2 linked regions of the Sus scrofa genome follow. The protein of the gene in region 1 binds, or shares a complex with, the protein of each later gene. Links are inferred from orthologs where the notes say so. Each region holds a gene or a part of one and is shown in the gene's direction. Other genes may lie near its edges. The genes, in order: ALK and ALKAL2.

The links.
Region 2: the proteins of ALK (region 1) and ALKAL2 are in contact, whole or in part, in a cryo-EM structure (PDB 9G5I), measured with the Homo sapiens proteins. The link is inferred for Sus scrofa from reciprocal best matches to the Homo sapiens genes ALK and ALKAL2. Residues at the interface, in NP_004295.2 of Homo sapiens: Leu684, Tyr739, His755, Ser758, Leu760, Phe856, His857, Glu859, Leu965, Tyr966, Thr967, Pro968, Leu970, Lys971, Val972, Met973, Glu974, Glu978, Asn980, Val992, Glu994, Cys995, His996, Met997, Phe1007, Asp1009; in NP_001002919.2 of Homo sapiens: Ser112, Lys113, His114, His116, Arg117, Leu118, His120, Asn121, Thr122, Arg123, Asp124, Arg133, Arg136, Leu137, Arg140, Leu141.

Annotation. Positions count from the first base shown.
Region 1 is NC_010445.4:110,068,539-110,072,340, forward strand, and holds part of ALK (ALK tyrosine kinase receptor), read left to right. Parts: coding exon 1-3; intron 4-751; coding exon 752-904; intron 905-1,920; coding exon 1,921-2,025; intron 2,026-3,802. UniProt on the Homo sapiens protein: Neuronal receptor tyrosine kinase that is essentially and transiently expressed in specific regions of the central and peripheral nervous systems and plays an important role in the genesis and differentiation of the nervous system.
Region 2 is NC_010445.4:132,659,829-132,664,120, forward strand, and holds the start of ALKAL2 (protein FAM150B), read left to right. Parts: upstream 1-1,324; 5' UTR 1,325-1,406; intron 1,407-1,803; exon of another isoform or gene 1,804-2,202; 5' UTR 2,203-2,253; coding exon 2,254-2,512; intron 2,513-3,870; coding exon 3,871-3,924; intron 3,925-4,009; coding exon 4,010-4,090; intron 4,091-4,292. UniProt on the Homo sapiens protein: Cytokine that acts as a physiological ligand for receptor tyrosine kinases LTK and ALK, leading to their activation. Cytokine-binding is sufficient to activate LTK. In contrast, ALKAL2-driven activation of ALK is coupled with heparin-binding to ALK.

The DNA of each region.
Region 1 (3,802 bases):
AAGGTACCCCTCTGCGAGGTGGCAGAACCAGCTTCCATAGGCCAGTTCTCCCTCCCAGCTCCCAGGGCAGCTTGGGAGTTCCTATCATGGCTCAGCAGAGATGAATCCGACCAGTAACCATGAGGACACAGGTTCAATCCCTGGCCTTGCTCAGTGGGTTAAGGATCCGGCGTTGCCGTGAGCTGTGGTGTAGGAGGCAGATATGGTTGGGATCTGGCACTGCTGTGGCTGTGGCATAGGCCAGCGGCTATAACTCTGATTTGACCCCTAGCCTGGGAACTTCCATATGCCTCAGGTGCAGCCCTAAAAAGCAGAAAAATCAATAAATAAAAATAAAACCTCAGGGCAGCTGATGTGAGGCCAGGTTACAAAGGTGTGATTGTGGGTCCCTTGCAGGCAAATCTTCCTAGTGCTTGCTCACCAGGTTTTCTGAAAATCAGGATGCATGATCTGATATGAACACGGAGGCAGAAGACTGACTCCCAGGCAGGCCGGCCCTAGAAAATGCAACAGTAATAGGCCCTGTGCCTGTAGCAGCCAACTTAAGGGTCCCTACAAATACGCACCCACATGCCCTCTGTCTGAGTTCCATCACCGGATGCACCAGGGACTTTCCTGCACAGGCAGTGCCTCCAGGGGCAGTGGGACATAGGAACAGGGACCAGGCGGAGACAAAGCACAGAGCCTGGGATAGGCTGCAGGGCAGCCTTCCCAGCCTCTGCCCAGGCTGACCCTCTCTCCTTGTCACCAGTGATGGAGGGCCATGGGGAAGTGAATATTAAGCATTACCTAAACTGCAGCCACTGTGAGGTCGATGAGTGCCACATGGACCCCGAGAGCCACAAGGTCATCTGCTTCTGTGACCATGGGACAGTGCTGGCTGAGGACGGTGTCTCCTGCATCGGTAAGGGGGTGAGGGAGGGGCCCCAGAGCTTAAGCCACAACTGGTTTCTGTGGTTCTGGGACATCTCGGATACAGTTTTATAAACTGCCTGACACCCCTGACTGCCCCAGCACGGGTGTTCTGAAGATGGACGGGGGACCCTCAGTAAAGGGTGGGCCATGACTCATGAAGGCATCGGAAGTCACCTGGTCCCACTCCCAGCCCAGGATGTGACTCCCACGTCCCCACCAAGGTGCCAGCCCTTCTTCCCTGGAACACCCCAGCGCCAGGGACCTCCACACTCGCAGGGCGCCCCGTCCTGTTGAGAAGCTGCAGCACCAGACCTGTCCCCTCCGACTTCTGCTCCTTGGCTCCCCCACTTGCAGCAGCCCTTCGGGTGCAGTGTCTGAAGACAGAGCCCCCTCCTCCTCCTCCTCAGGTCTTCCTCAGATTAAATAACCCGTTTTTTCAATCCATCCACATGGGACACAGGTCTCATGTCTCTCCCGACCCTGCCGTCCAGTTGTCAATGTCTCTTTGGAAATGCCGCCGGGTCGGGGACCGGGCGCGGTGCCTCCGTGTGGTAGGTGCCAGCGTGCTCCCAGGCCTCCCTCCCGCGCTGAGCCCCGCGCTCTGGAGGACAGGGACTCGATCCAGCCTCAGGAGTGACAGAGAGGCCCTCTCTCTCTCTCACTGGCTCATGTTGAGTCTCCTAAGGCACTACCTCTCTTCTGGAGCCTCTGCTGGCTCCCCTCGCATCCTCGTCCTGCCACGTGCACTTGATATTGATCAGCGTCCAGATTGTGGTTTTCGTTCCTGTTACAGACGCCCTCCCCGGAAAGTTACTGTCGAAAGTTGTAAAACCAGGACGAACCCACTTCGGGCCCTGGGCCTCTGAGAAGGGGGATGGTCAAGGTGTCCAGGCCGGGGAGGAGTGGGTGGCTTCTGTCCAGGCTGGGGAGGCGCTTTCTGACGTGGGACCAGCTCAGAGGAGAAGTAGGCTGGTCACCGGTGCCCCACGGGGACCTGTCTTCCAGTGTCGCCCACCCCGGAGCCCCAGCTGCCGCTCTCGCTGATTCTCTCCGTTGTGACCTCCGCCCTCGTGGCCGCCCTGGTCCTGGCCTTCTCCGGCGTCATGATCGGTGAGTGTACCGGAGCCCCGGCACTTCCAGGGTCTGCAGGAAGGCAGATCTGGCAGAATGGAACAGCACCTCTGGCTCGGCCAGGTGTCCCTCTGGGTGGGGGTTGAGGAGGGCCGCCCAGGCCAAACCAAAACAGAAGCCCCCCGCGCCACACCCCCCAGCACAGCTCTGGTTCCTCGCAGTCCCTGATTCTGCACCTCAGCCCCGGGCCTCCAGACCTCCAGTGTCTGGTCCGCTGCTGCTTACAAAGATACCACTTCTCACTGGAAACATCCATTTTCTTCAAATTTCTAACACACTTTGGTCATCTTCAACGGAGATTAAAGAATCAAATTCTTGGCGTTCCCATCATGCCTCAGCAGTAACAAACCCGACTAGCATCCATGAGGACACAGGTTCCATCCCTGACCTCGCTCAGTGGGTTAAGGATCCGGTGTCGCCGTGAGCTGTGGTGTTGTCACAGACACATCTCGGATCCCACATGGCTAAGGTGTAGGCCAGCAGCTGCAATTCCTATTCGATTCCTAGCCTGGGACCTTCCATATGCCAAGGGTGGGGCTCTAAAAAGACCAAAAAGAAAAAAGGTCAAATTCTTCATGCCAAGAAGGAGGGCACTCTTCGGAGGAGAGCATCATGACCAAAGCTCGCCCCCTCCCCAGGCCTCACTGTGGCTCTTCAGGTTTGGCTCGCTCCCTGCGTCCTGCGTCCCGCCCACCCTCCCCCACCCCCGAACCCCGAAGAGAATGCAGAACTGGTTTTTGAGTGTTTTCTCTGAGGTCTGTGAGCCAAGCAGTGCTGATTTGCGGGTCTCAGAGGGCTCAGGATGGTCCAGCCAGGCTCTTACTGCTAGAGATGCTGGGGCAGGTGGGCAGGGAGCCGAAGGGAGGCAGAAGAAAAGGCTCAGTTCCAGGCAGCACTTTCAGGCCAGCCCCTTGGGGGAGGGACTCTGGGGGTGGCCAGGGAGCCTGTGTGAGTCCCATGACGCCCCCCTTCCAAACGCAGGATGACCAGAGCTAACGTGTTATGCACTCACTACACAGTTTAGTTCCCTGAATCCTCAGAGGCCCCTGTGATCACGGTTGGCACTTTTCATAGAGGAGGACCTGAGGGCACAGGAGTTGCCTCCCTTGCCCTGGCCTGGAAGTGGTGGGCTGAGCTTTAAACACAGAATCTGCCCCCTCCCCATGAATCATCTTCCTTGGAGTTGGCCTGATGGAATGTTCTCGCACATGGAGATAGCAGTGATTGTGGTCACTTGCATTGGGACAGCTCTTTAGAACTCCCCCAAACCATTTTATGTTGATGAATTCATTTCATTATTACAATCCTGGCTGATGGGGCGTGGGGGGGTTACCTCCCTCCTTACGGAGAAGGGGACAGATCCAAAGAGGTCGCAGGTCACTCATCAGTGTCACAGCTTATAAGTAACAAAGGCAGGATTAGAACACAAGTCCTCGGGCACCAGTTTAGAGATCTTTCATCCGTGGCTGTTCTCCAACTATATGGTTTGGTGATTCTTCAACTGTAGGAAACCCAGGTGACCCAGAGCCCACATGGCCCACTGCCATGTCTGTCCCCACCCAGCACCTGGGCAGAGCAGAGATACTAAGGCAGGCTGGTTCCTGGAGACACGGGACCTCTCTGATGGCTGACTTTGGCCCCTAAACTTCCCGGCAGTCATGGGGGAACGTCTTTAGGGTCTTTGCTCCACCTTCCCTCACTCTATCCTTCACCTGGGGTCAGACTTTCAACACCGGCTGGTGGTTTCCCAGGTTCC
Region 2 (4,292 bases), about 23 Mb from region 1:
CCTCTGCCAAACACGTCGTCTTCCGCAGGAAACGACCCAAGGAAAGGAGGGAGCGGCAGAGGCAGGGAGCCTGGGCTGCGCGGCGGGGGCCTGCCTGGGGGCCTCAGGGCCACCCGCCCAGCCCAGCCCGCAGCGACCTCACCATCCACTATGCGGCCGCCCTGCTAATGGCCGAGGCTTTTAATTCCGGCCCCCGAGCTCCCTTTCGGGCATTGTTCTCAGAACACCTTTCCCAATCACAGCGCCAACTTGGAGGCCGTCCAGCTCTTGCCCAGAAAGCGCCAATAAAATGGGAAAGAGCGCCATTGATTGATAATACATTTTACAAGAAAAAAAATTAAAGGAGATGAATTGGCGAACTCTCACAAATGTGCTGCCTACACCCGAAGAACCAAAACTTTCTGAAAGACGGGGGCCGGGAGGGCGGTGCCCGGGGAGGGCTCCCGCCGGCCTTTCCCGGGAAGGGCAGCCGGAGCACCTGAGGGCTGAGGGTGCCGACCGAGGGCCTTATGCCGGGCGGGGGAGGGGGCACGGCGCGGGCGGGGAGCCGCGGCGGGTCCCCTCGGGGGGCTGGCCGGCCCCTGCCCTCTGGGCTGCCGCCTGGGGGGACCGGCCTGGGGCGAAGCAGACCGCGGTCCTGAGCGTGGCCCCCGGGCTCGCCTGCAGACTCCTCCAGAACGCAGAGACTCCCATTGACTTATTAAATGTCGAGGCAATCAGGCAGCTCCTTTTTTAATAGCCCAAGATCTACATTTAGACAAAAACAGATCCGAGTTCCTGGTAAAGGCGTTTCTTCTCATCCTGTCACAAGTGACAGGAACGGAGGGAAATAGACTGAGGGAGAGAACGGGGCGGGGGGGGCGAAGGGGAGGGAGAAAGGGGGGAGAGGGAGATGGGGTGAAGGGGGAGGGGGCAAGGGGGAAGGGGGAGGGGAGGGGGAACGACGGGGTGGGGGAGGGGAGACGGCGCGGGGAGGGGGCCGGGGAAGGGGGGGAAATGGGGGGGACGCGGGGGGTAGATGGAGGGGGTGGGAGAGGGGAGAGGGACGGGGTAGGGAGACATGGGAGGAGTTGGGGGGGCCAAGGGGGGGTCTGACGAAGATCCGCGCGGGGATACGAACACTTCAGCGGCTTCTAATTAAAGCCCCGCGCCAGGCCCTCGGGGACCCGCCTGACGTCGGCGGCCGCGGGGATAAGAGGCGCCCCGAGGTCCGAGGCGCGACTCAGGCGGCGGCGGGTCCCCAGCTCGGCGCGGTCGAGGCCCCGCGTCCCGGTGCCAGTCCCCGCGCGTCCAGGGCGCTCCGCCGGCGCCGGCGCCCCGGGCATGGAGTAGCGAGCGGGGCGCGCGGCTCCGGGGCGCGGGGACAGACGACAAGAGACGCCCGCGGCTCCGGGGCGAGAGGACAGGTAACCCGGCCCGGCTCCTGCGCACAGGTGGCCCCAGGCTTGGCGCCCTGCAGCGGCGGGCTCGGCCCCCTCCCCAAGGGCCGAGGGTGTTCCCCGCCCTGGCCCCCCGGAGCGAGGGTCCCCGCGCGGGGGCTGGTCGGCGGGCTTCGGGGACACCAGGAGGAGGGGGCGACCGCCACACAAAGGCGCCGCTGGAAACTTGGGCGCAGCTGCCGGGCGGGGCGCGCGGCCCGTCTCTCCGAGGGAGGCGGTTGTGGGCCGGACCCTCCGGACGGCCGCCGCCCCCGGGTTTCTCAAGGTGACGGAAAGTTGTGCGGGCGCCGCACGCGGCCGAGCGGCGGCCGCTGCGCCATTGCCATGAAAGTTCCGCGGCCCGGCGGCGGGGGCGGGACGCGGGCGGGACGAGGGCGAGGCCCGTGCCGCCCGGCGCGCGGAGGGCGGCGGCACCCGGGGCTCGCTCGCAGCATCACCGGTGGGGCCTCGGCGGGTCCCCGTGCAGACCGCGGCCCGGGCGCTCAGCGGCCCCTCGTCTGCTCCCGCCCCCTCCCCCCGGGCCGGGGACCGTGCAGGGCGCCCCTCCGCCGGGTCCGCCGAGGTCCTCGGGGTTCGCGGAGGTCCGCGGGGGGCCCTTGGGATCTGCCGCGGTCCTTGGGGGTCCGCGGAGGGCTCAGGATTCGCTGCGGGCCGCGGGGACAGCGGGGCTGGGGCGCGCGGTCCAAGGGGAGTGGCCTCTCCCCGGCGTCCCCGCCAGCCGCCGACTGGCTTTCCGGGTCTCCCCGCACCCCTGTCCCTCCAGGGAGCCGAGCTCCGGAGCGCGTCGGATCCGCCCAGCCCCGCCGAGCGCAGGATGCGCGGACCCGGGCGCCCCCTCCTCGTGGGGCTGCTGCTCGTGCTGGGGGCGGCGGGGCCCGGCCAGGGGGTCGCGGAGCCCCGGGAGGCCGCGGACCCGCAGAGCCTGCTGCGGCTCATCGTGGAGATCGTCCAGGAGCTCAGGAAGTACCACTCGGGGGAGGCCAAGAGGCTGCAGCTCTCCGGCCGGCAGGACGACAGCCTGGGCCGCAGGGAGGTCGCGGACTACGGCGCTTACGCCGAGGAGCAGAGAGTGGGTGAGTGTGCCGCCCGAGCGGCCGCGTGGACGGAGGACCCCTTCCACAGGCTTCTGGGGTGTGGGCTGTGCTGGCGGAGCCTCCAGCACGTCGGCCTGTCCTGTCTCAGGAGTCCCCAGGGCTTGCTTGAGAATCGAGTTGGCTTTGAGAGAACACACGTATTTTTGAGCTGTAAAAACGTTTCGACTGTTTATAAAAACTGGAAAATATTTTTTAAAAGAAGGAAATAGGAAGGCCATGAATGATGCCTGGCGGCAGATAACAGGTAACTATCCCTCATCCACGTCTAAGACCTGCGGGTCGCTACCTAGGTCCATAATTTCAGCATAGTAGTGCCATCTCTTATTTTGCAAACGGAGATATTTTCAGCAAAGCAGTTTCAACGGAGAGACAGAAATGTTTTAGATCCCACCCCTGCCCCCATCGCGGAGCCTTCCAGAGTGGCTGCCCCTTGGGAAATTTCCAAGGAAAGCGTACAAGCTCTTAATGCTTTGATGACACAATTAGGTCAAATATGATAAGGTCAATTTTATATAGACCGACTAAAGTTAGTTGCAAATGAAGAGTGACATTTAGGAGTTGTCCAAACTGTGCAAGTAAGATTTGATGGAACTGTGCCCTCCTCAGATGGGAATTGGTAGCAAATGTGAGCATATGCCATCCCATCACTAGCGCAGAACAGGTGAGTGCAAACAAAACCAGATGACTTCAAAAGCCAAAACACGGCTGACATCAGAAAGGTCAGTCGAGGTAGTTGCCAACACAAACGAGGAGCTGTGCTCCTTCAGGGGTCTTTCCCTAGGAAAGTGCTCTCCCCTGATCCTCCAGGGCACCGTCTGTCTCCACGCATTCACACCAGCCTTCATAACAGGTGGCTTGAAAAATGGCATCTAACCCTTTTTCTAAATATATACCTGGAAGAAGTGATGTTTCATGGCAAAGTTTTTGTTTAAAGGATCCGATCAGGTTTTCTTCCTAGAACTATGGAGAGGTTGTGGGTTTTGATTCCCAAGCTCTTCAAGATGAAGTGTCTAAGTGATTCATTCACTGGAAGGTAACTGTCTCTCACACACACACACACACACACGGCTACCTTTCTTTTCCTATAACTTTACGGTCACTGCCTCCATTCTAGTGGCAGAGACCCGGGAGATAATGCTGAAGCTTGGAGAGTAGTTAATGCTATTTGAAGAAAATGTGCCTGGATCACCAGAATTCACGTTGTCACACATAGCAATCAAGGGACTACTGTGTTTAGAGCAGTTTCCAGTACCTTTGAACATTCGCTTTGGGTCACATGAAAAAAAAAAATGCTTCTTTCAGGCAATACAATAATTAATTTATTTCCTCTCAAACAGAAATTGTTCCTCGAGATCTAAGGATGAAAGACAAGTTTCTGAAACATCTTACAGGTGAATTTTCTCCTCATTCCTTCGCCTTTTCCCGGGTCCTTGCATCCAGCGGGCCCTCACCAGCTGTTTCTTCTTCCCCTTCCAGGTCCCCTTTATTTCAGCCCAAAGTGCAGCAAACACTTCCACAGACTTTACTACAACACCCGAGACTGCACCATCCCTGCATGTAAGTGACTGCATGCACCCGCGTCAAACATGCCAGCACAGCATACAGGGGCCCCCCTCCCCGCACCTTGCCCCCCTTCTGCACCCAGACTTGCCTTGCTAAGGCTTCCTCCCTGCTGACCTTGCAGTTGGGGCCTGGGCTGACCGGACCGCTGCAGAAGAGAGCGACTTCCAGCAGCAGCTGGTGCCCGGGAATGTGATTT